Mus musculus: one gene and its partners. The protein of the gene in region 3 binds, or shares a complex with, the protein of the main gene of each other region. Links are inferred from orthologs where the notes say so. Each region holds a gene or a part of one and is shown on either strand. Other genes may lie near its edges.

Evidence for each region. Proteins that work in one complex are often made in the same cells at the same time.
Region 1: Txnl4a (region 3) and Lsm5 share a complex: the UniProt entries of both Homo sapiens proteins name them as parts of the precatalytic spliceosome. The link is inferred for Mus musculus from reciprocal best matches to the Homo sapiens genes TXNL4A and LSM5.
Region 2: Txnl4a (region 3) and Aar2 share a complex: the UniProt entries of both Homo sapiens proteins name them as parts of the U5 snRNP complex. The link is inferred for Mus musculus from reciprocal best matches to the Homo sapiens genes TXNL4A and AAR2.

Annotation. Positions count from the first base shown.
Region 1 is NC_000072.6:56,697,884-56,708,352, reverse strand, and holds Lsm5 (U6 snRNA-associated Sm-like protein LSm5), read left to right. Parts: upstream 1-3,653; 5' UTR 3,654-3,684; coding exon 3,685-3,730; intron 3,731-4,943; coding exon 4,944-5,039; intron 5,040-5,319; coding exon 5,320-5,347; intron 5,348-6,184; coding exon 6,185-6,257; intron 6,258-7,063; coding exon 7,064-7,096; 3' UTR 7,097-7,290; downstream 7,291-10,469. UniProt on the Homo sapiens protein: Plays a role in pre-mRNA splicing as component of the U4/U6-U5 tri-snRNP complex that is involved in spliceosome assembly, and as component of the precatalytic spliceosome (spliceosome B complex).
Region 2 is NC_000068.7:156,543,899-156,554,391, forward strand, and holds the start of Aar2 (protein AAR2 homolog), read left to right. Parts: upstream 1-3,677; 5' UTR 3,678-3,985; intron 3,986-5,953; exon of another isoform or gene 5,954-6,129; intron 6,130-6,750; 5' UTR 6,751-6,794; coding exon 6,795-7,551; intron 7,552-10,493. UniProt on the Homo sapiens protein: Component of the U5 snRNP complex that is required for spliceosome assembly and for pre-mRNA splicing.
Region 3 is NC_000084.6:80,202,888-80,213,346, forward strand, and holds the start of Txnl4a (thioredoxin-like protein 4A), read left to right. Parts: upstream 1-3,938; 5' UTR 3,939-4,014; exon of another isoform or gene 4,015-4,174; intron 4,175-4,266; 5' UTR 4,267-4,303; coding exon 4,304-4,456; intron 4,457-5,222; coding exon of another isoform or gene 5,223-5,342; intron 5,343-7,174; coding exon of another isoform or gene 7,175-7,213; exon of another isoform or gene 7,214-7,243; intron 7,244-8,525; coding exon of another isoform or gene 8,526-8,570; exon of another isoform or gene 8,571-8,605; coding exon of another isoform or gene 8,606-9,268; exon of another isoform or gene 9,269-9,847; intron 9,848-10,459. Other genes in the region: Gm16286 (N-alpha-acetyltransferase 11-like), read left to right, coding at 8,606-9,268. UniProt on the Homo sapiens protein: Plays a role in pre-mRNA splicing as component of the U5 snRNP and U4/U6-U5 tri-snRNP complexes that are involved in spliceosome assembly, and as component of the precatalytic spliceosome (spliceosome B complex).

The sequences.
Region 1 (10,469 bases), on a different chromosome or scaffold from region 3:
CCCTTGACCCTGGCTTCTAAGATTAATCAAATCTTAGGTGGAGCCCTTTTTGATCCCAGTTGTTAACAATAAATTCTATCCCAGGTGGTTCCCGTTAGACCTGTGTTTGCATTCCTCTGTTTTATGTAAGATTCTGGTTACCTCATTTGTACCTTGCGAATATGTCACCCAACTTCCTTATTGTCTTCTGCATAAAAAGTCTGATGCTCGATTTGAAAAATACATTCAGATTCCACACAACCTCTCCTGTGTGCTTCTGTTTGTCACTCATCCGACGCTTTGCCCACCCGAGACTAGAGACCCGTTCCACGCAGACAAAGGGGCCCAGAGGGTCTGCGGCAAATAAGTAACAAGACATCACACAGAATACCTATTGCTGTGTACTAGATCTTGTCCTAACCAATTTTCATAGGTTATTTCATTTAATCATTAAAATAATATTTTAAGTTGGTGAGGGAGGTAGTTCCATGGTTAAGAGTATTGGCTCCTCTTCTAGGAGACCTGGGTTTGATTCCCATCATCTGCATGGGATTCATAATTGTGATTTAAGTCCCAAGGGATCTGGTGCCCTCTCTGGCCTCCATGGACACCAGACACATATATTGTGCACAGACAATAAGCTGGTTTGAATAAAAATGAACTCCATAGGCTCATATATTTGAATGTTTAATTTCCAGTGTTTGGAACTGTTTGAAAAGATTAGAAGGATTAGTAGGTGTGGCCTTAGAGGAAGTATGTCACTGGAAGCGGGGGGCGGGGCTTTGAGGTTATCAAAAGCCATGCCAGGACTAATCTTTTTCTCTTGGCCTGTGGATCAGGATGTAGCTCTCAGCTACTGCTCCAGTGCCATGGATGCTGCTATTACTGCCCCCCCACAAGAATGATAATGATCTAAAGCTCTGCAACTTAAAGCAAGTTCCCAATTGATGTTTAAGTGTTGCCTTGGTTGTGGTGTCCTGTGGGAAGCCACATGTGCTGTTGCTGAGTGGCACTGACTACTGCTGGCCACCACACATAAGATTGGACAAACAACCAATGTGTACATATGCAGTAAATTTTTTTGCAAAGACACTGCCTGGCCCAGGCATGATAATGAGGTTCTGTAAGGTACTGAGAGTATAACCAATCAGATGTGAGACATGCAAATGAGGTATGATAATGAGGTTCTGTAAGGTACTGAGAGAGAGTAGCCAATCAGATGAGGAACATGCAAATGAGGCTTAGTGCATAACCAATCCGGGTGTGAGACACGCCCCTCCTAGGCCTATAAAAGCAGCACCAGTTCTGGGCTCGAAGTCTTTTCGCCTCTACAATCAAGCTCTCCCAATAAACGTGTGCAGAAGGATCCTGTTGCAGCGTCGTTCTTCCTGGCCAGTCGAGCGCGCGCAAGAGTGTCCCTTCACATCAATAGAAAAGTCACAAAGACAGACATACATGCAAACGAAACACCCATATAATTAATTAATTAATTAATTAATTAAAAATAATACTGTGTTTGCCATTACTATCAGTGCTTCTAATAGAAAAACTAAGATTTAAAAAGCTTAAATAATGTACACATAAGAAAAAATAATTAGTAGAAACTGTGTTGGGGTTAGTGAGATGGCTCTAGATAAAGGTGTTTTCTGCCATGCTTGTTGACCAGAGTTTGAGCCCCGGAATACACATGATAGAAGGAAAGAACACATTCCTTCAAATTTTCTTCTATTACACATGTGTGTGCACTCATATGGTGCACACAATTCAATGTAATTTTAAAAACAGTTTTAAAAGCTTTTAAAAATTGTGAAGTTTGGATTTGACTAAAAGTCACTAAATTCAGAACCAGTGGATTTAATCACTATGCTATGTCCCAGTGTTCTTAGTCTTGAGGAATCGGGTTTTTGAAGGGTAGCTAACTTTGAATAATTATATTAAAAAATACATCCAAGTAATCCTGACAGCTATTGACACTGCTGTCAGCCAGCATCGGCCTCCAACAAGACTACACAAGTCAGGATAGGTGATCATCTCTGGCCAGGGTCCTGCAAACTGAACATCTTTACCAGGACATTGAGCAGTATCATGCAGTTAAATAGAAAAAAAAATGAGTGAAGACTGGGGTTACTCAGGAAATGGATTTGAAAAGGCAAGTGTTTTATGCTCAATGTGGGAGAAATGGGTATGGTTTAAAGACAAGATCAACAAGAGAAGCTTGGAGTGACACACATCCACTGCACACAATGTTTCCTTTTCTCAGAATGCGGCTTTTGCCTCTTCTCTGCTTACCCATTCTTAGTCACTGTGTGAGAAGACTCCCAACAACTCCTCAGTTCTTCAAGCTGTGGCCAAGGGACAGTGTTTTAACTTGTTTTAAGCACAAGGAACTTAATCCTGACTCTTACCTCAAAAGGATGGCTGTCAAGTGTGTTTGTAATTGCCTTGGGACCTAGTAGATCTGTAAGACTTATAGATTGGGCGTGGAGGAAAAAAAGCCACCACTGGCTTGGAATTGAGAATGGAGCTGAGTTTTCATTGCTTTCCATATTAAATCCCATAGTGCTGTGCACATGAAATGTACTATTTGTCCTCCTTCCCACTCTCTTGGTTGAAGACTTTTCTGAACATTGTTTTATGTATCCAGCAAGCTGCTAGTCAAACAATATTCCACTGATATGTTTTTTCAATGGAGGAATGAAGGGTGCTCATCTCTCATATTTAGGCTGTTTGGTTTTAAGTCTGTCACATGAGATGGACAAAGGCAAAGTATTTATCTGCTTTAACAACAACAACAACAACAACAACAACAACAAAACAAGCACGTAAACGAACAAACAAAAAACACTAGGGCCCAAACTCCGGGCCTCATGAATGCTAGGAAAGTACCCTATAGCCAAGCTACCAGCTAGCCCTTGTTAGTTTTAATTTCTTATTTTGTGTCGGGGTCTAAGAGGGCCATGCCTGCAACAGATGCCTCCTTTTGTCTCTCAAGTGTTGGGTTTACTGGCCACTCCACGTTAAAAGGGGGCTTTTTAATCTTTTCCAATGCAGAAGTGTGATAGCAAGGTTTCCAAACATGATGGAGTCAACATACAGAGTGACATCTTACGGTTGCCTGCAAATTGAAAACTGATAGTGACTTTAATGCCTGTAATAAACCAGACACCTAGAAACGACAAGAAGAAATTAAATAATAGTAGAAGTTTTTTGTTTGTTTGTTTGTTTGTTTGTTTTTTCTAAAAAAAAAAAAGCTTGTGAAAAATGCTGCTTTATAGACTTTCAGTCCTCTGGCCTTAAAAGTACCAGATTCCTTAAAAAAAAAAAAATGAGTAGTTGTTGAGGAGCATGCAGAACGAGTTTATAGTAGGAAATATAAATTGATTTTATTGCTCTGAAGAAAGATACAGGCTTGAAATGCAACCTTCTAGAGGAAAATTAACCGACTCAGAGATCTCGTATGCTGGTCTTCCGGCGGCAAATTATCTCTGAAGTTTAGCAAAACTTGGGGGTACCATAGGTGCCTGTTGGGTTGGTGGCAGGGATAGAGATCCGAACCTCTCTATCGAATCTGTCTGCGATCCATTGGGATCCTCTGGATCTCAAGATCGGCTTTGGATTAGTCTTGTCTGAACCAGCTGTGGAAAAGGGCGGAAGCGCGCAATTTTAAAGTCTGCGCCGGTGTCCTTAGCCACTTCCGGCGTGGCCATGGCGGCTAACGCGACCACGAACCCGTCCCAACTCCTGCCACTAGGTAAAAGTCTTGTTTGGGGAGCGGTCGGGTTGCTGCAATTCCACGCTGGGGGCCGAGGCTGGGCCACCGCCCCTCCGGGCCCGGCTGTCCGGTCCTTGGCGTCACTGGGCAGACAGACAGACCGTTTTGCCTGTCGGTGGTCGGTGAGGGTCCCACTTAGTGAAGGACGTGCTCGGCCTTTTTGAGCTCGCCAGTAAGATGTCATGAGTCGCGCAGTCCCAGTTCTCAGCTTGGCCTTCTTGGTCTCCAGATCAGGTAGACCCTGTATTGGCTTGGGTAAGGAGTGCGCCACGGCATACAATGAATCTTACAATAGAAATCTGGAAACTAGCCCCGTCGTTCATTAATTCAACAAGCAATTCCCGCGCAGTGCCAGAGAACTGTTGAATAATGAACTTGAATTACAGCCATTGCTTTCAAGATCGCACACCGGCACGCATCGTGCTGAGCAATTCTAAGATGCTGAGATGAACAGGTTGGCCCAGGAGCACAGAGAGTTAAGGTTAAGTGAGAGAAGGAGTGACGGGAAAGCCGGTGTCTGTAATAATGCTTCTCCCTTGTCATGTTTTGGGGCTGGTGAGCTTAGTGAATGTGTCTGTGATTGAAAGTTTTTGCAGTGTTAGATATTGTTTATCGGTACAAACACTGATGAAGAAAAACAGTTATGGTCTCCACCCACCTCATGGTGTGTGTTTTCATACATTAATCAAATAATCTAAATAAAAATCACAGTCCTATTAATTGCAAATAAAGAGTTAAGTGAAAGCTAAGGCAAACATTTGTGCTAACGATTAAACAGAGATTTGTGTAAGATGTAAAATTACCGAATGGTTCCAGATACATATGTAGGAGAGTATGGCCTTTTTTGACATCATTGGGAGGGGAGGCTCTTGATCCTGTGGAGTTTGATGCCACAGCATAAGGAGAATGCTGGAGTGGGTGGGTGGGTGGGGGAGCACCCTCATAGAAGCAATTGGGGAGTGGGGAGAAGGTAGATATGGGAGGGGTGTTGTGGAGGGGTAACCAGGAAGGGGGAATATCATTTGAGATGTAAACAGATGGAATGATTAATAAAAGTAAGTAAATAAATAAATAAATAGCAAAAAACTGAATGTTTTTGCTTATCTTTAATGATAAAAAATAATAAGTGAAGTAGGCATTCAAATGTTGGTCGATCTAATAAGTAGGTAAAATTACCCTTTTCCTTCCACAGAGCTTGTGGACAAATGTATAGGGTCAAGAATTCACATTGTGATGAAGAGTGATAAAGAAATTGTCGGGACACTTCTAGGATTTGATGACTTTGTCAGTATCCTTTTTAAAAGCGGGAATGGTGTAGGTTTCTAAAGATGTATTAATATAAGAAAGAACTATAGACAACCGAAGAATTTCTGGTTATTACATTAAGAATAATTTTGTTTTCCAGGAACTTGGTAGTATTTTAAGAGGTGTGTTTGCTGACAGTTGATAGGGCTCTTGCCAACAACAAACCTTTTGAATTTGCACTATCATAGTGTTGAACATATTTTAAACCAAACAAAAACATATACCTGAATAAACCTTATTTATTTTCTTAACATTAAATTCAGATATGGTGTTGGAAGATGTCACAGAATTGTGAGTAGTATTTAAAAAATTAAAAAAATTTGAGAGGAGGGGAGGAAATCTCTTTTTAATTAAAGATGGTGCCTTGATTACTTTTTTCTATTAATGTGAAGAGACAGCATGACAAAGGTATCTTATGGAAGAATGCGTTTAACTGGGGGCTTGCTTACAGTTTCAGATGGTTAGAGTCCCTGACTGTCCTAGCTAAGAGCTTATATGTTAGATAATAACCAAGAGAGAGAGAGAGAGAGAGAGAGAGAGAGAGAGAGAGAAGTAAATAGAGAACGCGAGCGCACTAAGTGGGTATAATTTAGGTTTTTGGAATCTCAAAGCCTAACAGGGTGATACACCTCCTCCAAAAAAGGCCACACCTCCTAATCATTTCCAGTTTGCCAACAGAGGACCAAGTGGAGGCCATTCTCCTTTAAACCTCCATAGCAGCTTTAGTATGATCGATATAAAAAAAATTACTTGTTGGAAAATACCTTAATACTGAAACGTTATTTACTGGTGTTTGTGAGGTCCAGTTAAAGGATTATTATCTTCATATTATTCCTGAATTTGTAAGAAATTAGTGTGAACAAGCTTTATGGTGAATTATATTTACATGAGTATTATCCAATGGGCAGTTTGTATTCTGTATATATTTACTGTAATTATATGCGTTCACATTGAATCATGTGTAAGAATAACAGCTTTGTCACTAGGGATTGAACCCAGGGCCTTGTGTGTGTGCTCTGCCACCAAGCTATTCTCCTTACCCCAGTAGGACTTTTAGGGAGGGAAAGTGTTTCTAATACTGCCTTTGATTACTTGTTTATCCAGACTCCATTTAATCTATCTTTTTAGTGAAATTACACCAGAAGGAAGAAGAATTACAAAATTAGATCAAATTCTACTAAATGGAAATAATATAACAATGGTAAGACATTAAAACTTTTCTCTGGAAATTATTTTACTTTTGTAGTGTAGGGATTATGGAACTGACTTAAACTTCTATTTCGTTGGCAATGTTCATGGCACTGAGATAGACACACTGAGGATGGGAAGGGAGCCTTGGTGATCTGTGCCTCAGGGCAGCTGTTGAAAGTGCTTTGGTCCTTGTCTTAGTCAGGGTTTCTATTCCTGCACAAACATCATGACCAAGAAGCAAGTTGGGGAGGAAAGGGTTTATTTGGCTTACACTTCCATACTGCTGTTCATCACCAAAGGAAATCAGGACTGGAACTCAAGCAGGTCAGGAAGCAGGAGCTGATGCAGAGGCCATGGAGGGATGTTCCTTACTGGCTTGCTTCCCCTGGCTTGCTCAGCCTGCTTTCTTATAGAACCCAAGACTACCAGCCCAGAGATGGTCCCACCCACAAGGGGACCTCCCCTCTTGATCACTAATTGAGAAAATGCCCCACAGTTGGATCTCATGGAGGCATTTCCTCAACTGAAGCTCCTTTCTCTGTGATAACTCCAGCTTGTGTCAAGTTGACACAAAACTAGCCAGTACAGTCCTTAGGATTAGCTTGCTTATTAATCTTTGTCGACTTCTAGCTCATCCGGAATCATTAATAACTTAGACGTCAGCTAGTGATGTAGGGATTACTAACAGATGGACTTGGAGAAGATGGGATGTGAAGGATGGGGGAGAGGCAAAGCTGGCTTTGGTCCACGAGGGACACGAAGGGTTTTTTAGGTGGTGTGGTAGTGTTATTAATAAATTCTTTTTCTCCAATGCAGCTGGTTCCCGGAGGAGAAGGGCCTGAAGTATGAATGGATTTCCTCGACGTTGTTTTCAAACCTTTAACATTTAGAGTCTATAAATGAAGTTTCCGTTAAAGGGAAACTCTTTGAAGATATACATCCATTTTTCTAAGCTAATCATGGTTATTTTGGGAAAAGAAGAGTTTTGTTTTGTCTTCTTTTTTTTTTTAAAGACTAAAAAAAATAAAGATGTTTTTGGTTAACTGTGATTTGATTTATTATGTCGAAGTAGCTCGTGAAGCAAATATAGTTTTTTGATACTTAGTTTCATATTGATTTCTGTTTATTTTCTCCCTCATTTGTATTAATTTGATTGGGGCAGGGGTAATTTTACTCAGTGGCTTGAGGGTAGGGTGGAGCAGAAGGGATCTGTCTAATGAGATGTCCTCCAATGGCTGTTCTCCCTGGCCTCTTTGCTAAAAGTGAACTTAGGTCTTGTTCTTTCAGAGATTTTCTTTATTTTTATTGTATGTGTATGCGTATCTTCCTGCATGTGGGCCTACTTCATATGCAGTGTCTGCGGAGACCAGAAGAGGTGGTTGGATCCCTGGTACTGGAGTTACTGTGGGCTGTAACCTGTGCAGTGTGGGGCTGGGAATTCAACCTGGGTTCTCTGTGTGAGGAGCTTGTGCTCTTAACCACTGAGCCATCTCTCCAGCTCCTGAACTGAACTCTGAAACAGCATTCATTCCAAAACAAAATGAACTTTGAGTTTGAATGTATCATTTAAAAAACCTTAATGATCCCTTAAGAAAATTCAGTTCAAACTCTATTTCATAATGATGCTTTTCACATTGAATTCAGTTTTTATTAATTCCTATTATAAACACAGACCATGTATGCTGTATTGTACAAGTGCAGGTAAGTCAAAAGAAGTAATCACATCTTATATTTTCCTAGCTTGAAAAGACATTGTTTTTTTTTTTTTTAACGTGTATGAGTACCTGCTTGTATGTCTGTGTACCGCTTACCTGCTTTGTACCCTCGGAGTCCAGAAGATGGTGTTGGATCCCCTGGCACTGGTCTTTTCCTATACTTAAACCAACAGCAACAACAATAAGCATTTACTTACTTTGGGTGTGAGTGTGCCCTGTGGGTGTGTGAGTGCCACGGAACATGTATGGAGGTCAGAGGACAACCTGCAGGACTCAGTTCTTCTCTTCTCTCACATGGGTCCTGGATATTGAATTTAGTCTATTAGCCTGAATAGCAAGTGCCTTTCCCGGCCGAGCCATCTCACCCACTCCTGTCAGAGGCTTTTTGAGTGTGTACGTTTAATCAAAAATTTGCTTTTCCTAAATTTTAGACTCCATGCTAAGCGCAATTTTAGAGACGGTTAAATGATGAGTATTTTTCTGTGTCAAATATTTCAGCAGTAATATCTATAAAGTTTTATTAAGTGTTTTTACTATAAATTATTTCACCTATGCTTATTGGCTACAGTCATTTTAATAAATCTTTATAGTTCTTGTTTTTCCTAGAGTAAATTCGTAGAGCACATATTTCATATTGCCAACAGGAAGTTTATTTCATGCTACTTTTGCCTGTTTTTCCAGTCCCCTTACACCCTTTCAACATTCAACTATGCTGTAATTTTCTCTTCCATGTGCTAAGCAAAACCTGATTTAAAAACTTTTAGAAACTTACTTTGGACTTACTTGTATTTTTGAGTTATTCGAGGCCTTCTCATCCAAGTCCTTTTTGGAGGCACTCCCTTCCAGGCTGGCCTTGAACTTGCGATCCTGCCTCAGTGCCCCAGCACTAGGGTTATAGGCAGGTTCTACCACATTAGAGTTATATAAAGTAGGCCTGGTGAGATGGCTCACTGGTTAAGAACACTGGCTGCTCACTCAGAGGTTCTGAGTTCAGTTCCCAGCAACCACAGGGTGGCTCATGGCCATCTGTCAAAGGGATCTGATGTTCTCTTCTGTCATGCAGGTGTACCCGCAGACAGAACATAACAAATAAATCTTTAAAAAAAATAAAAAATGTTTGTATCAAGCTTTGGCCTATGTGTTTTAAACAATTTGCAAAAACTTGGTTTTTTTGAGACAGGGTTTCTCTTTATAGCCCTGGCTGTCCTGGAGCTCACTTTGTAGTCCAGGCTGGCCTCGAACTCAGAAATCCGCATGCCTCTGCCTCCCGAGTACTGGGATTAAAGGCGTGCTCCACCACGCCCGGCTTTGCAAAAACTTTTGTGAAATTATTTTACTCTTCTTGTTGCTGCAACAAAATACTTGACAAAAGCAACATAAGGAACGAAGGCGTTGCCTTCCCTTGTAGCTCCAGGGCAGGTGAGTAAGCATCGAAAGGAAGGCATGGCAGGAGTGTGGGGCAGCTGGTCACACAGTATCCACAGCTAGGAAGCAGAGGGTCATAAATGCTGCTACTCAGCTCCCCGTGTCCCTTCTAGTCAACCTAGGACCCCAGCTACGGGATGATTGCCACCTCAACTTTAAGAGAATCCCCTACAGACATGCCCAGGGATTTGTTTCCATGGTGATTCTAATTCCCATCAGATTGAAAATTAAGATGAATAATCAAATTATTTTTGTCACATATTTTGCAAATAATATTCCCAGCCTATAGTTTTGCTTTTAGTGGTATTTTTAATATAATGTACTTTTATGAAATTATGTTTACCTAGGCTGCATTTTCATCTGGCACAAATTGATCAGAAAGTTCATTACTCTGTGTGTGTGTGTAGGGAAAAATATATTTAATATTATATTAAATAATATGATATTAAGTATATATAATATATTATTTAATGTATTAAATATTTTAATGTTTCTGCTTTTAAAAGCAATCTTTTAATTTCCAGAACAAAGTTACTTACTTGTAATATTGTTTGACTTGTTTGGTATAAATATTACTTCATTGCCTAATTTCAGGATAACTATGATTTGGTTGCTTGCTTGTTTTTTCCTTTTGGAACAAGCTTAATGATGCAATGGTGGTCATTGCAACTCTCTTTTTTTTTTTCTCTGAGGACCTAGTACTCTGCAGGGAGCACATGTTCTTAACTTTAGTGTGCTGTAAGTTTTATAGGCAGAGGCATAGTTGCCCAAGTGGCTGCATGGATGAATCCACTTGCCTGCAGTCAAACTAGGTCTCCTAGTCTGTTCTCAGAGCTGAGAATCAAGTCCAGAGTACTGTACATGTCAGGAAGGCACTCCTCACTGAGCTGCCTTCTCAGCTCCCAATCTGTTCTGTAACAGTAATAAAAACGACACAATTCCCTTCTCTTTACACTTTTATCCTCAATTTATTTAGCATAGATACTATGCTGAATTTTTCAACCTTGGCAGTGTCAGGATCTCTAGCCATGAAATATGAGTAGACTACCCCTTCGTTTTCCACCTATAACTGCCCAGATACT
Region 2 (10,493 bases), on a different chromosome or scaffold from region 3:
TGCACAGCAGACCCAGCACGGGCTCATGTCACCCATCCCACTGCTGACTTACTTTTCCTTAAAGGAATTCACTTTGAAAATAATTATTTAAGAAAGGAAATTAGGGGGCCAATGATGACTCAGCAGATAAAGTGAAAGCACCTGCCACCAAGCCTGACAGCCTAAGTTCAATCCCCGGGACCTACAGGATGGAAGGAGAGAACCTGCAAGCTGCCCTCCCATCTTTATATGCACTTCATGGTTCATACACACACACCTGCAGACACACACACACCACAGGCACACCACACACAGCACACACACACACACCTGCAGACACACACACCTGCAGACACACACACACACACCACAGGCACACCACACACACACATGCCCACACACACGTGCAGACATTCCCCCACCACACACACACACACTCCGTAGATCTTAGCACTAAAAGAAAGGAATGAATAAAGATTGAAATTAAAATCAACATCTGTGTAAAACCTAATCTTCTTTCTTAGGGCATCTGAGGTATACATTCTACAGTTTCTACTTTATCCTGTCAAGAAAATCACCCCAGTTCCCCTTTCTATATCACTCCAAATCTCACAAACAAGTCTTTTTTCCATATATATTTATTTTCAGAGTCAAAGTCATCTTGCACATATCATCCTAAATGCTTTAAAAGCTTAGATTCTGCCGGGTGGTGGCGGCACACACCTTTAATCCCAGCACTTTGGAGGCAGAGGCAGGTGGATTTCTGAGTTCAAGGCCAGCCTGGTCTACAGAGTGAGTTCCAGGACAGCCAGAGCTACACAGAAAAACCCTGTCTCAAAACAAAACAAAACAAAACAAAACAAAACAAAACAAAACAAAACAAAACAAAATAAAACAAAAACAAAAAAAAGCTTACATTCTGAACATTTTCCTGTCATTTTAGATGCTATTAACTGCTTTCCTCTGTAAAGCCAGCTCATTAAATGATACAAAGGCTACACACTGGAAGAACCCAGTCTTCTCCAGAGTCCTATTTGTTGTGTAAGGCAATTGCTGCAGGGAGCTTTGAGAATGGTTTCCAGAATTTTCCTCCTAAGTTCCATTTAATGATCAGTTGCTTTTAGGCTCCTGGACTAGCACTTGGTTTACAGACATTGGCACTGCACCTCCTGGACCTGGAGAATAACCGGGGTAGTTCATCCGACTCAATGCTTCCTCAGCTCAAGTTGGAAAGGGTATAAGGTAGCAGTTTCTAGAAAGACTTTGCATTATGGTTGACCAGTGTTCTAGAGATTGGATCCTATGTTTGCAGCTAGACTTCTTCCAATCCACAGAACAGCTGTCTGCCATCAAGAATTACCTACCTCACATACCATGGGTACCAAAGTTGAGAAATGGTGCTTTGGATGAGTGTAGCTCACAAAGCTGGGTGTTCCAGGCCAGCATCTTTCTATCCTGCAACTTCCATGTCCAGTGTTAAATGCCCTGGGACTCTAAAAATATGGAGAAGCCATATGAAACCACCTGGAAGCTCGGAGCCCACACCACAGAGTTCAGCACCTAAGAAGGGAGTAGAGAGGGGAGGGGGAAGGAGTTGAGCCAGTTCCCAAGGGAAATGGAACTGATAGGGAAGGTTGAGATTGACTGCCTGACTCACCTCTGGCTAACCTGTGGCAGCCCACTGTGATTAACTATGATTGCCCTGTCTAGCCTAGTCTGCAGCCCCCTAAAACATGAATTGTGAAGTTGTGAGTGGGGCAGATTGATGTGGTCAGCTGTCGCTGGGGAACAATGACACACAAGAAGCAGCAGCACAGGGGCTAGAACTCCAGCTGCTTTTAGATCACATGGTTTGTTTGTTTGTTTGTTTGTTTGTTTGTTTGTTTGTTTGTACTCTTGGGGTTTGTGGTGCCTCTGTGAAGCTCAGTTTCCTCTTTTGTAAATTGAGAATCCTAATTGCCAAGTCTTTATCCCTATACTTGGTCATTCTTCTCCCAGAATTGTAGCACCAGTAAAAAGATGGAGGACATATCTATCAGCAAGGGATAGGAACAGAGATGGGAGATTAAACTCAGATCAAGCCCTTTACCAACCCGGGCTTATAGATATGCAGGTATGATGCAATCAATCAATAGCCAGTAAAGGGGGCAGAGGGACTCCCGTCCTTTCTGGGAATAGCAAGGCTTTTCCAGGAATTTGGGCATGCTTTTATGGTTTCTCTCCATTGACAACCATCAGTGCTGTAGGAAGGCCACTTAAGAGGCAGGTGGGCAATAGTGAAGTTGGAGGTTATTTGTCTTCTGCTCTGTCAGCCATTGTAGCTACAGCCAGTCTTGGTAAAGTCACCCGAAGAAGAGACTGAAGGCCTTTGAGAATCCTGCCTTTATAGATAAACAAGCTTACAATCAGGTCGGGAAAGTTGGCAGTACAAGATTAGAGGAGGGTCACATCTTGGCTATGGTTAGTGAGGAGATTAGAAGTAGTATCTATGTATCTCCCAGTAGCTCTGGCTCATGGTGGAGTTCTGATGTACAGAACCACTGAGCACAAGGTTAGTGTACTGGCTCTTCCTGGTTGTCAACTTGACTATATCCGGAATGAACTACAATCCAGAATTGGTAGGCTCACAGTGACCCTAATCTGGAGGCTGGGAGATGCAAGTGTCTGACCTGGATAATGGCATGGAAATCTTGAGGCATAGTGGTTATGAATCCGAGAAGATTAAGACAGGGGAGATCTCTGAGTTTAAAGTCATGTGGGACAAAGCAAGTTCCAGATCCAGGTGTGATGGCACACACCTTTAATCTGGGCACACACTTTCTGCTGGAGACCTACATAAGGACATTGGAAGAAGGAAGATTCTCTCTCTCTCTTGTTCACCTGCTTGCCTTGTGGGACTGAGCAACTGCTAGATCCTTGGATTTCCATTCACAGCTGCTGCTCACCATTGTTGGAGAGCTGGACTACAGACTGTAAGTCATCAACAAATTCCCTTACTATATAGAGACTACCCATAAGTTTTGTGACTCTAGAGAACCCTGACTAATACAGCAAGGCCTATGGATAGTCATTTACTATACACATCATTTGATTTGTTATTAAATACACAGTACATTTATGAGGGCTATGTGCTAGGTTCTAAGGAAATAGAGAAGAAAAAGACAGTCAGGTTTCCTCACTCAGTGCACATTTATAGCTTGACTGCTGTATTCTGTAAGGCCTGGAAAACACTGGGTGGTCATTTCCAGAGGAACTGCTGTGTTTGCGTTTGAAGGGACTGGTTCTCCCTTCAGGCAACAGCCTTGGTTCTGAAACTAGGGATGAATGTGTCTGGAAGCCGGGACTTGGAGATAATAGGGAACTTTTGACATGGTGACCGGCATAGGAAATGTGGCTAAAGAGGACCAACCATGACTGAGCCAGTCTGTGGCTACTGTGTGCCAACACCTGAACCATGCTTTGGCCAGCCCGTGTCTGCTTGAGACCAAAAGGACTGTGGATGGTGAGTATGTTTCTGGACGGGGATATAAAGTGGATAGTTTAATTAAAGTCGTTATTTATAATTCGGGAAGTAAAACGAAACAGTAAGAAGAAAATGAAGTGCTTATCGTGAGGAACCTGGAAGCACGGGCCATTTCTTCTGAGACTCGGGGCTCCGCCGGACTACTTTTTCCGTAGCACCTATCCGGCACCAAAGCAGCCGAACTTCCGTCCCGTTTCCGCGGAACCGGAGCTTGAGGTGCTACGGTGAGTGTCGGCCCTCGGTGCGCCTTTCGGCCTCCGGTTTCCTTGTGTGTGGTCGGGCCACCTCGCTTCTTGTCTCAGAATCGCGCTGGCGGAGTCTGGCTTTGTGAGCTGGTGTCTGAGGAGGCCTTTCTTCCTGAGAACCCGTCCCTGAGGACACCGTGGTCAGGGTCTCTGGGGCTCCCGAAGGAACTTCCCCCCACACCCCTTTAACTGTAACCAGAGAACGAGACTCACTCGAGCTGGATCTGCGTGGCTTCCGGTAAGTCACCTACCCGGCTTCCTGGCTTTATTTAAAGTGCATATTATCGTAAGTTAAAAAAAAAAAATTAAGCTTCGTGTGTATGCTAGGCATCAGGGACTCGAGTCTTGTGGGCATGACAGTCTTCAACCAAGTACACAAAGTTACACACCTGTCCCTGGAACTGAACGGCAACAGGGTAGCCAGAGTGTCATCACCAACATTTGACTTAGTCCCGGGTCGAGGAGGCTTTACTAAGATTAAAAAAAGAAAAATAATTGTGTGACCAAGTGCTATGGGTAGAGTTTTCTCTGGTGTGAGGGTAAGAAAGAAGCCAGTGTGGTTAGAACAATCCTTCGGATTGGGGTGGTATTAAATTAGCTGAAGAGTTGCCCAGGGAAATTCATGCAGCGTTTTCGGGCCATTCCCTAAAGCCAGATAGAGAACGCATTGAGGACCAAGTACTCTCCACTCTTGGAAGGCGGTGAATACGCTGAGGAGTTGTCTCTGTATTGCAGGCTTGTGAAGAGTATTCGTTTGTGTTTCAGACTTTTTTTTTTTTTTACTGTGAACTACAGTCACAAGACTTTTATGCTGTGATCACATGTATATACAAGCACATGTCTTCTTGGAACCATTCCTATCCTTGTTACTTGTGGCATTCCAATAGCTTAAAAGTTCTCTTCTTGGTGCTGGAGAGATGACTTGGTGGTTAAGAGACTTGTCTGCTCTTCCAGGGGACCTGGACTCAGTTCCTAAGGGCGCCATGGTGCTAAACCCACCTCTAACTCCAGTGTCAGGGAATTCAGCATCCTCTTCTGGCTTCTGTGTAACTTTTCTCATTATTTCAGATAGCTTTCTGTCTAAAAATGATTTCCTTCCTTCTTTCTTTCTTTCTTTCTTTCGTTTTGTTTTGTTTTGTTTTTTCGAGACAGGGTTTCCCTGTGTAGCCCTGACTGTCCTGGAACTCACTTTGTAGACCAGGCTGGGCCTCGAACTCAGAAATCCTCCTGCCTCTGCCTCCCAAGTGCTGGGATTAAAGGCGTGCGCCACCACCGCCCGGCTAAAAATGATTTCTTAACTCAAGATACATCTTGCAGTTTGAAAAAGAGTGCTAATTTAGAGTCTTTTCTCCTGTTTTTTTAGGTAAAGACAATGAAGTGTGCTCCTAATATTTTTTTGTAAAAGGATTTTTTGTTTGTTTTAAATAAAAGAGTAAACATCAAGCAGCACTCGATTTTTCTGCTTGTGTATTTTGAGGCCACTTCTGTGTAAAATACAAATATCTGGTTTTCAGTAGTCTTATTCTGTGGATATTTCTTTTGGGGCCCAGTAAAGATCCTGGGTAGTGCCTGTAATCTGAGTGTTTTGTCAGTAGGATGAGTAAGTGACTTAGTACTCAGTTCAGTAAAAGTTGAAGTACTTGATTGGCTTGCATTGATTGGTTCTTGCTGAAAACATTCTTACAGATACTGCAGAGACGACAGTGTCTGCTACACAGTTGTTTTTAGCATCGAGTGCATGTGAGTGCATGATGGGGTGGTGGGTCATATGCTGGGGCAAACATGTGAAGGTTAGACAGCTTTGTGTGCTCTCTTTTCTCCTTCCACCCTTGAGTGGGCTCTGGCCATCGAAGTGAGGTTGTCAGGCTTACAAGGCAGGTGCCTCTACTCACTGAGCATTTGCCAGCACCCTCAACCCCTTTGCTTTTAATCAAAGTGTCTTTATAGGGAATTTAAATGTGGATAAGATAAAGAATCCAAGCCTCTCCTCAAGCACTCACTGTAGACCTGCCATGTCAGTCTCTGGCGGGATTGTGACTCTGGGGAAGTTGTTTGATCCCTGGACTTTCAGTGCTTTTGTTTTGTGATTGTTTGCTTGTTTTTAAGACAGTGTCTTGTGTATGTGTCCCAGGCTGGCCTCCGGTTCACTGTGTACTGAGAATGACTTTAGTGTCTGATCCTGTGCCTCTGTCTTTGTCTATCACAGAATTTTTTTTGTAATCGTTTTTGTGGTTCCAAGGATCCTTTGTGTATAATGGACAAGCACTGCACCTGATGAACCGCGTTCTCACCAGCCGCTTGGTTTCATTGTTGATTTCTGAGAAGACCGTCTCTAGCAATCAAGGGTGATTTTGAACTCCAGATCAAGGGTTGGGAATACAGGCATGTAGCACTGCACCCTGGCAAGTTGTTTTAAACTAAGAGCCCAGCCCTTTGCTTTCCCTCATTTCCAACTAGGCTTTTGATGAGTGAAAGAAGGGAGTTTGAAAAACTCTCCTTCGCTCCTCAGACTTTTTGTTAATTTTAGATGCTCATGGAAAATTAGGTAGCCAGTTTGATTTGGTCATCTTATGGTACTCTCCAGTAGCAGGTTTTAGGTAGAATTGTAGCTTAAGGCGACTTTTGCATTCTTCTAATTTAAAATGAGCCATTTGAGCCGTTTCTACCTTCCACTGCTGTTGAAAGAGGGACATCTGATGGGCAGTGGACACAAGCCTGCAGTACCAGCAGGCAGGTTTTATTTTGGTACTGTGTGACCACCTGTCTTTAAGTGGTGCCCCTGGAGTGGTGGAATGAAGACTCTTGATCCTTAAATCAAAACCCCCAAATCTCTTTGATTCTGATTTTCCTCATCTGTTAGACAGATGCAGGGTTGCCATGGAGATTAAAGGGAGTTAATTTCTGTCAGGATCTAATTCAATATTTGACATAGAGAATGTGCAAGAAATAAAGTATTCTTTTCCCATATTCTGATCAACTGTTTCTGTCTCTCTTTCTCTGTAGGAGACAGAAAAGAGCCCTGCTTTTGGTTACCCTCCACTGGCTTCATGTCTTCCATGCAGATGGATCCAGAGTTAGCCAAGCAGCTCTTCTTTGAAGGAGCCACGGTGGTCATTCTGAACATGCCCAAGGGGACAGAGTTTGGCATTGACTACAACTCTTGGGAGGTGGGGCCCAAGTTCCGGGGTGTGAAGATGATTCCCCCTGGCATCCACTTCCTGTACTACAGCTCTGTGGACAAGGCCAATCCCAGGGAGGTGGGCCCTCGCATGGGCTTCTTCCTCAGCCTGAAGCAGCGGGGGCTGACAGTCCTGCGCTGGAATGCAGTCCAGGAAGAAGTAGACCTGTCTCCAGCTCCAGAGGCTGAAGTAGAAGCTATGAGAGCCAATCTCCCAGACCTAGACCAGTTTCTGGGACCTTACCCATATGCTACACTCAAGAAATGGATCTCACTCACCAACTTCATCAGTGAGGCCACCATGGAGAAGCTGCAGCCTGAGAGCAGGCAGATCTGCGCCTTCTCAGATGTGCTGCCTGTGCTTTTCATGAAGCACACCAAGGACAGGGTGGGGCAGAACCTGCCCCTCTGCGGCACCGAGTGCAGAAGCTACCAAGAGGGCCTAGCCCGGCTGCCCGAGATGAGGCCCAGGGCTGGGACAGAGATCCGCTTCTCAGAGTTGCCCACTCAGATGTTCCCAGCAGGAGCCACACCAGCAGAGATCACCAGGCACAGCATGGACTTGAGCTATGCCCTCGAAACTGTGCTCAGCAAGCAGTTCCCTGGCAACCCCCAGGATGTGCTTGGTAAGAACGAACTAGGCTTTGGGGAAGGGTACTAGTGGGGGTACTTGGCATACTTAGAATAGAGGGCTTATCTTGGGTTATCTAACCCAGTGTTCTTAAAGGGGCAGAAGGTGGACGGATTAGTCGTCATCAAAAGGCATTTCACCCTTAGCCTAGAGCTTTTAAGTCAAGAGATCTGTATCGGGACTAGCTGTCTGTCTGGCTTATCTAATAATTTGAGCATCTTTGATGAGCTTGTGCACATAATCCCATGTTTGCTAATTGCTGACACAGCCCACCCTTGCAGAGAGAAAGGATTTGACTAATAGAGCAGTCACATTGAGATCCGAGTCCAAGGCTCCCGGTTGCTAGGTCCAATCTGTCTGTGTTATTAAAGCCTCCACCTGACACCTCAGTTTGCTTTTGAGTTCTTAAAGTGTTTCTCTCTTCACTGGCTTAGAACAGGACTTTTATTTTTGTTTAACTTGTTACAGTTTTATCACTACTTGAGCTCTTTTTTTTGTTTGTTTGTTTTTTGTTTTTTCAAGACAGGGTTTCTCTGCTAGGTTTCTTGCTGTCCTGGAACTCACTTTATAGACCAGGCTGGCCTCAAACTCAGAAATCCACCTGTCTCTGCCTCCCAAGTGCTGGGATTAAAGGCTTGTGCCACCACCACTCAGCCCTCTACTTGCACTCTTAATTTTAAAATATGTACTTATCACAGAATATAAATAAAGTTCACTAAGTTCTATCCCCAGAAATATCTATTTTCATGGTTGAATGCACTTGTACTTTTTTTCTTTTTCCTGTGTATTTCTATGTATTTCACTTGTCCTTTATGTTTCAGACTTATCAGTTCAGTTCTATTGTATGAGTGTATGTGGTTTTTATAGAGACAGGATCAGAGAGCAGTGTTCTGTGCTGTGCTGTGCTGTGAGCATTTCCCCATCACTGCTCACCTGCCTTACGGCTAGCTGTACAGTGCCCAGAGCTGTGGAACTAGTTCTCAGTGGCCACTCCTTAGGCGCCCCTATTTTCTGTTGTAAATGGAGCCTCGTAAGCACTGGTGAAGGTACCTGGGTTTAGGGTTGGATTGTGGAAGAGTTACCAGATTTGCCTCCTCAGCAGGGGTTGGAGGCAGTTCTTCACCGTTGACAGCACTCAGCATGGATTCTTAGCAAGGGCCTGTTCAGTTCAGTGGTTGAAAAGCTGCCATCTTCTTTCTATCTCTGAATATTAGTGACAGCAAACATTTGGCATGCTTTTGGTGTGTGTTTATGCACATGTCACATATGGCGGCCAAAGGTTAGCCTCTGGGGTGTTGTTCCTTAAGTACTGCTAACCTTTTTCTTTTGAGACAGGGTGTCTCATTGATCTAGAACTCACCAAGTAGACTGGTAGTAGACCCTGGGTGGATGTCTGCCTGTCTCTGCCTCCCCAGTGTTGGGAGTGGGAGCACTTGTCCCACCACTTCAGCCTTTTAAACTCCAGTTCTGGGGCCTGACTCTGGTCCATGTGCTTGAGAGACAAGCATTTCCCTGACCGAGCATCTCCCAGCCCCTGCTATACCTCTAAGGCCTGTCCTTAATGTCTATAAACTGTCCAGGGCATTCACATAACTTCCTATTGGTGAAGGTTGCTTATAGAAGTTTGGTTATAGACCTTGTTATATCCTTGGCTGAACTGATGATAAAATGGACATTTTAATAGGTGCATCATGGAGCTGGAGACATGGCTCAGTGGGTAACAGCACTGACTACTCTAATAAAAGACCCTGGTTCAATTCCAGCATCCACATGGCAGCTGTCGGTAAAGCCAGTTCCAGAGAATCTGGTGCCCTCTCACAGACGCTTGGACAGAACACATAAAAAGAAATAAATCTTTAGTAGGTGCATTATAGTGCAGGACTTACTATGTTATATTCGTAACCCCTGAATTCTTGCTTAAACATGACTAGGAATCTTGTTTTCTATCTCTTAAACATTTCAATATTCAAAATATATCTGTACCAGACATAGGTGGCACACTTGAATCCCAGCACAGGGAAGGCAGTTAGATCTTAGTGAGTTCCAGGCCAGCCAGGACCTTATTTCAAAATTTAAAAAAGGAGGAGGGAGAAGAGGGGGAGGAGGAGGAAGGAGATGGGGAGGAGGAGGAGGAGGAAGAGGAGAAAGAGAGAGAGAGAGAGAGAGAGAGAGAGAGAGAGAGAGAGAGAGAGAGAGAGAGAGAGAGAGAGAAAAGAAAAGAAAAAAATTTTGTTTAGGGCAAGTTTGAATCTGTGTAACAATTCCTTGAAATTATTTCTGATACCATCATTTAAATTTTACCATCAAAACCTCACAAATTTATATTAATTTCCTACTAGAGAACTTCCAGCCTAGCTTTGGCTAGTGAGATCCTTTCTCAACACCACCCCTCCAAATCAGTAACAGTAAATTAGGGCTGTGAATACAAAAGAGTAAGCTAATGTTAGTTCCACAGTTTAACCAGGTAAAACCAAACAGAGAAATAAGTCACTATGCAAAGAAAATTCCACAGGCTGGAATCAGGAAACCCTGCCTTTAATGGTGACCGATCAAATGCCATGCATGTGAGGGCTTATTTGCTGATTTTTTTTTTTTTTTTGATGGCCCATATATATATAGCTTAAATGTGGCCACCTTTGAAGCCAGGGAGTGCATCTGGTAGTCAGCCTGTGTTCATTTCTTGATAGTCAGGGTCTTGCTTTGTAATCCAGGATCCTGGAACTTGCAGGGGCAGTGATTCCCCTGCCTCCTACCTCCTGAGTGCTGTGATGACAGGTTGAACCACCACATCCTGCCACATCAGATGTATCCTGTCTGCCAGGCAAGGCTTGCATACATACAGTGGCGTCCAGAGTATTAGGTCTTTCTTTGTTGGGGACTGGGAATAGGAGGTAGCATTCTGAGTGCTGCTGTGTGCCCCATATTATTCCAAACACT
Region 3 (10,459 bases):
ACCCCAGCACTCGGAAGGTAGACACAGGTGGATCTCGGAGTTCGAGGCCAGCCTTGTCTATGGTGCAAGTTTCAGGACAGCCAGGGCTACACAGAGAAACCCTGTCTCAAAACAAGCAAAGACCATCCCATCTCTTCCCCACAGCAATAAGTGGGTTTTCCAGAGGCAAGGGCAGCTGCTGATACCACACAGCCCATTGTCTTATTCTTCTCACACGTGAAGTTCACTAGGCGCTCCCAGGCATCCCAGAGCAAAAGGTCTTCAGGCATGCCTGGCTTCATAGTAAGAGTCTTTAGCCATCACAGGGGACCTGTGTAAATCATTACACAGGTTAGCGAAGGCTACAAAAGTTTTAAAGAGGTCCCAGAGTTCAACCAGGCCTTACTGGAGACAGAAGCAGATAGCTAATGCAGACAGGGAGAGTCACTGCAGGTGTTTAGAAAATATAAGAAACCCAGCTGTAGATCTGCTGGAATTTCAGAGCCGAGCTTCAGGGTCTCCGGTACAAAAGTTAGAGCTGATCTTAAGATTAGAGCTGAGCTCCAGAGACTGTGGAAGGCAAGACACAGAATAATAGTGGCAAATTGCAAAGCTGGTGTCCAGACAGACGAGCAAAAGGTGGGAGGTTCACAGTTGGAGCGGGCCCCATCAAGCAACAACACTCATGCTGCCCTGAAAGCGCCATAGGCAGTCGTTTTGATTACCTTTGGACACCTTGATGAAAGGGTCTCCCAGTAACAGGCTGGCAGGCGGGGCTGGAGCCATTGCTGTCACGGTTGCAGAAGTCCTCTTTGTTATGGGGCTCAATGCAGGGGTGTTGCACACTCATTCTTGGGCCTGGTTTTCCTGAGACTGTTTTAATATGCCCATATGCTACCCATTTACTTTGAAAGCTTTTCATCTGATCTCTTTTTTAGTTATAGAAACATTATTTCTTAGCCTTTGCTTTATAGTTGGTGCCAGGTAGTTTTTGGTATCTTTGAAAACAAATAAGATTCAAAGTCCACCCTGCCTTTCTTTCTTTGCATCGAAAATGGCATCATCTGGCATAAAACATGGCCTTAATCACTGTTTCACACAAGATGAAGTAGTTTAAAGGCAAACCACTACCTCACACAATATGAGGTGTGTAACAAGTTGGAGACAGTTGGGTCTTGGCTGTCCTTTGAAGCACTTACTAACAATGCTGGGCCAGGGATCAGACTTGGGCATCATTTCACAGAGGTGCCAGTCCTCCAAGAAAGCGAGACAGACTTGAGGAAGCAGTTAGGCATGACCATATGAGGGGAAGGGGACACCAAGAAAACAAAATTCTCTAAATCAACATGAGCAAGGATCATATACATTCACAGAGACTGAGGCGGCCTGCACAGTGCCTGCATGGATCTGGATCTACACCAGGTCCTCTGGGTGTGTGCGTGTGCGTGTGCGTGTGCGTGTGCGTGTGCGTGTGCGTGTGCGTGTGTGTGTGTGTGTGTGTGCGTGCATTATTGTGGCTTCCAGGTTAGTGTTTTTATGGGACTCCTGAGTGTGTGAACAAGTGATTCTCTGATCCTTGTGCCTTCTCTTGGGAGTTTTCCTTCTGCTAGTTTTTTTTCATGTCCAACTTTGATGTGACTGCTCTTGTTTCACCTTATGTCTTATTTGGTTACATGCTATCTCTTAGAAGCTGGTTCTTTCCTAATGAGAGATAGAAAGAAGAAGGAGCAAAGCTCCTGATTTGGGGGGGGGGGGAGCTGGGACGAATAAAGGGAGAGGAAACTGTAATCAGGATATAGAATGTGAGAAAAGAATCTATTTTTAATAAAGGGGGAGGAACCTAAATGCCAACGAGCTAGTGGAGAAATAGTACAGAATGGTGTATCTGTGTAGCTGAATATTAAAATAAGAGGAAATACTGATGTGTGGAACTTTAGAGCATGATGCAATCTAGACTTGATAAACCAGCTAGGAAGGACTACATATAATTCCATTTATTGAAATGTCTAAAATAGGTCAATCTACAAGCAAAACATAGATTAGTGATTACCATAAGCTTCAGGGATAAGGAAATGGGAAACAATTACTTTTTCTTCTCAGAGTGACCTTTTCCCTAGAATTTGATTGTAGTCTCAGTTCCAGTTGTCTGACCCTCCCTGATGATATTTAGAGTATATCTACAGTATATGTTAATAAATATTTGTATTAAAGTATTTTAAATTTTTAAAGATTTATTTATTTATTATATGTAAATACACTGTAGCTGTCTTCAGACCCCTTTTCTTCTCTCTCTGTTCCTGCTTGATCTGGCCCTGTTCACTCCAGCCCAAAGATTTATTTATTTATTATACGTAAGTACACCATAGTTGTCTTCAGACACTCCAGAAGAGGGCATCAGATCCCATTACAGATGGTTGTGAGCCACCATGTGGTTGCTGGGATTTGAACTCAGGACCTTTAGAAGAGCAGTCAATGCTCTTAACCACTGAGCCATCTCTCCAGCCCCTAAAATTATTTTTATTTATTTTTGAGACAGGATCTTATATACTTCTGAATGGCCTCAAACATACTATGTATGATCCAAGGATGAAGTTGAACTTAAAAAAAAAAAAGATGTATGAGTATGAATGTTTTGCCTGCACATATGTGTAAGTGCACTGTTTTGTGCCTTGTGCCTGAAAAGGCCAGAGTGTGCTGAGTCCCCTGGAACTGGAGTCATGGACGTTTGCCCACTGACATACGGGTGATGGAAATCGAGTCTGGGTCTTGTTTTATTTTGTGTGGCTTAGTGTTTTGCCTGCATGCATGTCTGAGTAAGGGTGTCAGATCTTGGAATTACAGCCAGCCATCATGTGATAGCTGGGAATTGAACCCTGGGTCCTCTGGAACTGCTGAGGCAACTCTCTAGCTCCAGAACCTGGGTTTTCATGAAAAGCCACAAATGCTTTTTATTTTGGAGTCATCTCCTCAACCGTTGCTTTTTAATTTGTAATTTTTATCAGGAGAGGGATAGTGGTGACTTGTACTTAATGCCAGTAAATGGTTAAAGTGGCAAACTTAAACACGTGTGTGTGCGCGCGTATGCGTACACACACACACACACACACACACACACACAGATATGGTAAAGAAAAGTATTCCTACTTGTAATAGCTTAAGAAGATGGTTCAGGAACACTGCAACGTGGTCTTGTAGGGAGGAAAATATGTTCAATTACCAATTGTGGAACATTATGGGTGAAGAGGAATGGATCTGTGAAAGAGAAATTAGGAGGATAATGGCTGAAGCCAAGGAGATCTGACCTCTGGGATAAGGTACAGGTCCAAAAACTTGATTATATCCAAGAGTGTCTGATGATGCAGAAAGATATTTTACAGAAGAATGCATAGATAGGCCTATGGAAAAGATCAGGAGCATGGCTGAAGTTTGGCCAAAGACTTGCCATATTTCTCAGCACAATAAAAAAATAATAAGCCGGGCGTGGTGGCGCACGCCTTTAATCCCAGCACTCGGGAAGCAGAGGCAAGCGGATTTCTGAGTTCGAGGCCAGCCTGGTCTACAGAGTGAGTTCCTGGACAGCCAGGGCTACACAGAGAAACCCTGTCTCGAAAAAAAAAAAAGAAAGAAGGAAAAGAAAAGACAAAAATAATAAAAATAGAGACAAATTACCCCACAACACTAGACGCGTTACGAGGTGGGGACGCTTGGGTCTCGACCGTGCTCTGGAGCACTTGCTAAAGAGGCTGAGCGCGAGATTAGACTCGGGTATCCCCGCCCCCTCGGCAGAGGCACCGAGTCGCCAAGAAGGCGAGCTCGACGCGCTCACCGACGGCTCGCTCTGCGCAGGCCCAGCTCGCTGGGCGGCGACCAGGGGTGGGGTGGGGACCAAGAGGCCGACGGCGACGTCCCCGCGCATGCGCATGACGCCAGCGTGCGCCTGCGCAGCAGCGCCGAAAAGCGTCAGCGCGTGACGGCGCGGGAGGAGCTGGTGCTGGGTGGAGGACGCGGTGTTTGGGCCGCGTGGGCTCACACGAGGTTAGAGGTCGTCTGGTGTGGCCCCATGGGGCAGGGGCTGCCGGGGTGTGTTCCCTGCGGAGGTGGCGATTCGAGGGTGTGGTTCCCGTGCGAGCCGAGGCCCTGTATGGGCTTTGGGCCCGGGGCGAGCAGTGGAGGTTTGGGGTGCGGTGGCCTGCAGGTTTGCAGTGGGGCCCTAGGCAGAGTCTGGGGTGCAGGCCAGGTTCTTGGGGTCCGGATGGGGTCGCGATCCTCTGCTCTTTCTACCCACAGGTAGCTCGCGGCGTCCGGCCGCGCAGGCGCGCTCAAGATGTCGTACATGCTTCCGCATCTGCACAATGGCTGGCAGGTAGACCAGGCCATCCTTTCGGAGGAGGACCGCGTGGTCGTCATTCGTTTCGGACACGACTGGGACCCCACTTGCATGAAGATGGACGAGGTTCTGTACAGCATCGCCGAAAAGGTAACTCATGTGCAGTGTTCGCCGTGCTGGGCCCCGCAGGGCGGTTTGGACGCCAGATTTCAAGCCCGAGTCCTGTGTTCCATGCAGAGACCCACAGAGAGACGGGGTTCATGTACGGGCAAGGTTTGTGCTAGAAATGGTTAGAGTTTCTTAAAATTTGAAGAAATTTATGATTTCCTCCTAAAATAAGTGATGATAAATTTTGGGGGTTTTTTTGTGATTACGGAAGGGGATGGATGGTCCGAGATAGGTCTTGTGTATGTATCTATATGTATATATAGTCAGACGGACCTTAAACTCGCCGCCTCAGTCTCAGAGTTCTGGGATTACCGGGCACCACTGTGGATGATGTTTTAAAAAATTTACTAGGGCCAGGTGCGGTGGCATATGCATTTAATCCTAGCACTCTAGAAGCTGAGGCACTGATCGTTCTAGGCCAGTCAGGACTGTATAAGACTGGGTCTCAAAAACAATGTATCGCCGGGCAGTGGTGGCGCATGCCTGTAATCCCACCACTTGGGAGGCAGAGGCAAGCGGATTTCTGAGTTCCAGGACAGCCAGGGCTACACGGAGAAACCTTGTCTCAAGAAAGAAAAACAATGTACCTTATGTGTAGTCAACAGAGTGACTTTGCAAGCTTTGTTGAGCTTGTTGGAGCTTACTTAGGCGGCTTAGCTTAACATTATTGGCCTTTTCTCAATATTTTATGGATTTATTGTATTTATGAAGCAGAACTTTTAGGTTAATACCATGATGGACTTTTTAGCCCCCACCCCCTCTCTGGGAGAGAAGAAAACCGGATTCACTGTGTCGCCCAGAGGGACCTTGCACATTCTTTCCTTCTCCCTGCCTCCTCCCAAGTCCTGGGATGAGCCTCAAGCTCTTTGTAAGTTACTTGATTTGTAGCTTGCAGTTATTCAAATGCTGAAAGTTGAGTTTGGGTGGAACTGGTGTTCTTAGTTTTCCATATTTATAAGCAGGGTGGCAGTACTTGTTTCCTGACACTGGAAGTGTAATTGTCAGGCACTGTTACACGATTAGGAGGTTCATTCTGTGAATTCCTCTTCACGGTTTTAGGATGACTTAACTTTTTTATGATTGTAACAATAGGGCAAAGACTGTAATATTTAATGATAAGTAATTTCAATATTATTTTATTTACTTTCTTATTTATTTGAGACAGGACCTCCCTACATAGCCCTGGAACTTGTGTAGACATGTATCTATATGTCTTTAGACCCTGCAGACAAGTCTATCTGCCTTTGTCTCCACCTTCCAGTGCTAGCTTTAAAGGTGTTTGCCACCATGCTTAGCCTGAAAGTCAAAGAAGAGTTAACACTGATAGAAATGCTGGAACTATTTTCCTTCTCACCCATGCTGCTAACGCCTGCTGGCTTAAAGTAGTTCTTAGCTTTCAAATGACGTCTGCCACAGGATTGTCACTTTATTTACTTGAGCTATAAGTGAGGCCAGGGTCAGGTGCCTTGCCACTGAACCATAGTCACCATAGCAAAGACATTCTCTGGAGTAAGACACGGGGATGTGTGCGTGTGAAGGAAAAGCAGCAGCATTTGGCTTTCTGCTTCCGTGTTGCGGAGAGGCTGGTGGAGGGCAGTTCTGACATCCAGTTATCACAGGTGTCTCTGCGAGTGCTTCTCTGGAAGCTTGGAACACGGTTGGTCTGGGCTGAGGCCTCCAGGGGATTCGGTGCAGATTAGCTTCTGAGGAGCAGCTTCTCAGCCAGCCCTGCCCTGTTCCTCTGGGAGTCTCTCTCCTGCAGGCGTGCAGGCTGTCCTGTCAGTCAGGCTAGAGGTACGAATGAGGTGATTGGGTCCCTCAGAAGGCAAATGCAGAGATTCACTGAAGCACCACTACAAGCAGGTCCACGGCTGAGTCTGCTTTAGTTGAGGACAGCTGTCCTTTAGTTATTCTGACCTGAAGGTGGTTTGACCAGTGTCAGGAGGGCTTTCCTGTCAGGAGGGCTGTGTCTGAGGCCCTTTGCTCTTCCCCAGCTAAACAGAACTTAAGCGTTTCCCGTACTTGTTATCTTGTTGTCTCAGTGCTGCTCAGGTGCAGACAAGGCCAGCCATCCCACTCACCAGACATGCGCTGTATTTGGTGTTGGGTTCATTGGTCTCCTTCAAAAATATTTCCTTTAGTCTTTTAATTTGCATTTTCTTTTGTCCAAAAAATGTGATTGCATTCTTAATGAGCTCCCTTTTTGCTCCTCTTAATAACTCTGGTACCACCATGCTAGCCAGGTGTCCTGTGCCCGTCCTCCTCAGTCACTCTTCACCTCGGTATTCACTGAGGCAAGGTCTTTCCTTAACACTGAGCTTGCCAGTGAGGCTCGTCTTGCTAGCCAGCTTGCTCTAGGGATCCTCTGTCTTCCATCTTTTAGGACTAGAATTAAGGTAGGCCATCATATCTTCTTGATATGGGTTTCTGGGGGTCTGAACTTGGGTCCTGCAAGCTCTTTAACCACTGAGCAATTTTTTCCATACTCTTAATAAACTTTTAATACTATGTTTTAGTATAGTTATTAAAAATGTAAGTTTGAATTACATTAAAATCACTGTTGTTCTACTTCCTTAGTGTAATGGCAAAATACACATTCGTAAGTTTGGGAACTCCAGGGAATTTTCAACATAAATTTTTGAAATTTAAGATTTTAGTATGTAAAGAACAGTATAACTATTTAAAAATCTCCCTCCGCAGAAATGGAAGATAGTGGGAGATCTTCCTCATCTTGTATGAGTCCTGTTTGGATATCCCAGCTGTTTTAAAGTGAGTAAAAGTTACATGTGTGTGCAGGCTGGACTTGAGTGCCCTAAAGTATGTTGCTTTAGCCAGTGTGCTGCTGCTGCTTGCAGTGTGCACCTCCCGTGATGCTGGAGTTACTGAGTTCAGTACTTGAGGAAGAACGGTGGTAGGGAGCACGCAGACTTAGATCTAGTGCTCACTGAGTAGGTCCTCTGTAAAATGACTTCAGGCAGTTTTGAAGAAAGATTATTTCCTGAACCTTCTCTTTTCCCATGGGGTAGGAATGTACTTTGTCACAAAAGTGCTTCTAGAGATCAGAATTCCCTTAATACTGTGACATACAAAAATGGTGAGTGTTTTTAATATACTAAAAAGCCCATACAAATGGCATTTAATATCTTCAGGGATGAAATGTGATGGTGTGTTCTGAAAGAATCATTGTGGCTGGTGAGACAGCTCAGCAACTAGAGGCATTGCCACAGAATCCACATCAGAGTCAAGGAAAGAACCAATTCCCTCATTTATTCTCTGACCGCCACACATATGTGATGGCGTGTATGTTCTACATATATATACACGTTATACATACAAATGCATGACAAAATTTTAGAAGACTATACAAGACAAATAATGTCCATAGGGCTTTTAAAGAATAATAGGGAGCCTGTCCTGTACGAGACTAAGGATTACTGTTGCCCATGCTTTCTAAAGTTCCATAGCTGCAGGAAATAAATCCACTGGGCAGATGCAAAGCAGTGTTTTTCCTTTACATTTTAGATTTTCAAAATGGTTATTGGAGGAAAAAAGGAGTGGACATCCACTTTAATCTCAGTTTTATATAAATCAGGTGGAAATTGTAGTGAACTGTGAACTGGTAAATGGCTGGCCAGTAACAGGAGACTATATGCTGCTGGTCCATATCTTACCCACATGGGAGCATGAGCCAGAGCCCAGGCAGCCCCTCTTTGAGATCCGTTGCACACACACTGGTGCAGATAGAACCCAAGAAGGCTCAGAGGTTAGCAGGGACCAGGGAGGTCTCTGCTGCACTGGCCCCTTCTCCTCTAACTCCTGCACTGTGTGTATCCCATCTTCGCTAGAGGATTGCGGGCTTTGCCGAGACTTCGAGGTCCTGTTGGATAAGAGCATCTCGGAGCATGAGTACAGAATTAAGGTGGTGTAGTTACATTGAGGCTGTTTAACCAGGACTATCTATCTGATAATCCGTACTCTCCAGAGATACATTTGTGATGACAGTGCTGTGTTTCTTGAGTTTTGAAATACACCTTTGTGTCAATTCCTCGAGGCAAACGGTGCTGGTGTCGCTTGTGCTCTGAGGCATCCTCTGTGATTGTGTGGAGTCTGACAGGCCTGTCTGCCGCCAATATGAACATCCGCCGGGCTCGGCCAGATGACCTGATGAACATGCAGCACTGCAACCTGCTGTGCCTGCCCGAGAACTACCAGATGAAGTACTACTTCTATCATGGCCTCTCTTGGCCCCAGCTCTCCTACATTGCTGAGGACGAGGATGGGAAGATTGTGGGCTATGTCCTGGCCAAGATGGAGGAGGACCCCGATGATGTCCCTCACGGACACATCACCTCGCTGGCTGTGAAACGCTCCCACCGGCGCCTCGGCCTGGCCCAGAAGCTCATGGACCAGGCTTCCAGGGCCATGATTGAGAACTTCAGCGCTAAGTATGTATCCCTGCATGTCAGGAAGAGCAACCGGGCGGCTCTGCACCTGTATTCCAACACCCTGAACTTCCAGGTTAGCGAGGTGGAGCCCAAGTACTATGCAGATGGGGAAGACGCGTATGCTATGAAGCGAGATCTCTCGCAGATGGCCGATGAGCTGAGACGGCAGCTGGTGCTGAAGAAAGGCAGATATGTGGTTCTGGGCTCCAAGGAGAATCAGGGTAGCACACTTCCTGGTTCTGAAGAGGCCAGTCAGCAGGAGAACCTGGCCGGAGGTGACAGTGGTAGTGATGGCAAAGACAGCACTGATGTCCAAGACAGCTTGCAGACCCTAGGGTCCGCCTCCTAGAGCCTGCCTGCCTGAGCACTGCAGGTCCTTGTATTTTAGCCACATTGTTCTTGGGAACCTTGCTCTGTGGTCCCTGAATGGGACCTGAATGGCTCTCCTTTCAAAGCTTTAGCAGCAACCTTCTGCATAACCTGTGTGATCATGGAGGCACACCTAGACACAGAACCTGCTGTGCGGGAGTCAAGGAAGCCAGCCCGAGGACTGCCGTGCAGCCCTTTCTTGGCTTCTCCACGCTGCCGTCACATGCTGCTCAGTACTGTTCTGACTGTGTCCTGCAGCTTTCTGCTTGGAATGCCAAACAGGAAGTGGGGACAACTCGAGGTCCCCAGCTTCCAGCCTTTGCATTATTTATCTGTTTGTTTGTTTTCCTTGGAGTAGAATCATCAAGTACTGCCCTTGCTTTCTGTGGAAACTGCCCTGCCCGGCCCTCCCTCTTTTTGAAGAAGAATGGTCCCTTTCCTGAGGGAGAAGGTGATAGGTGTTAGACTAGTACACAAGCAGAATTTGTAGCTCTAAGGAAAGAACACGCAGAAATTAAATTGCATTCTCTAACCTGAAAAAATAAAAATATAAAAAGGAGTACACGTTTGTTGTGGGAATTCATTGGTCAGTCCTTACCTGGTGCTTTGGGTTTAGTCTCCAGGGCACCTCTGCCGAGGAAACATTCCACCTGGTGGGGTGTTGGGTTTTGCTGAAGAGTTATAAAACTACCGAGGCTTTCATTTTTGAGAGGACATTGCTCTTCCCAGTTTCTGTCTATAGGGACTGGGGAGTCGAGTTGGCTGTAAATAATCACAATAATCCCCATTTTGACCTTTATTGGATTGGTAGTTAAATCTGTAGAAGGCAGGTTCGTCTTTCCATTATTAATAACTTAACTTTGTTGTATTGCATATGAAATGAGTATTTCTACTTTATGACACTTAAGATGTTGGCAAGCCATTAAAAATGGACAGACTAAGCCAGTGGTGAGGAACCCCTTTGATCCCAGCTCTCCATCTAGAGGCAGGCAGACCTCGAGTTCTAAGCTAGTCTGATCTACACAGCAAGTCCTGGGCCTGCTGGGACTACAAGTTAAGAGCTTAGCAAAACTCTTGCCAGGAACCTGGGTCTTTGGTTTGTGGTGTTTCCACCTTCACCCCTCCCCTCAGCGCCCTCTAAGAAGAACAGCAGGTCCCTGGTGTCCAGCAC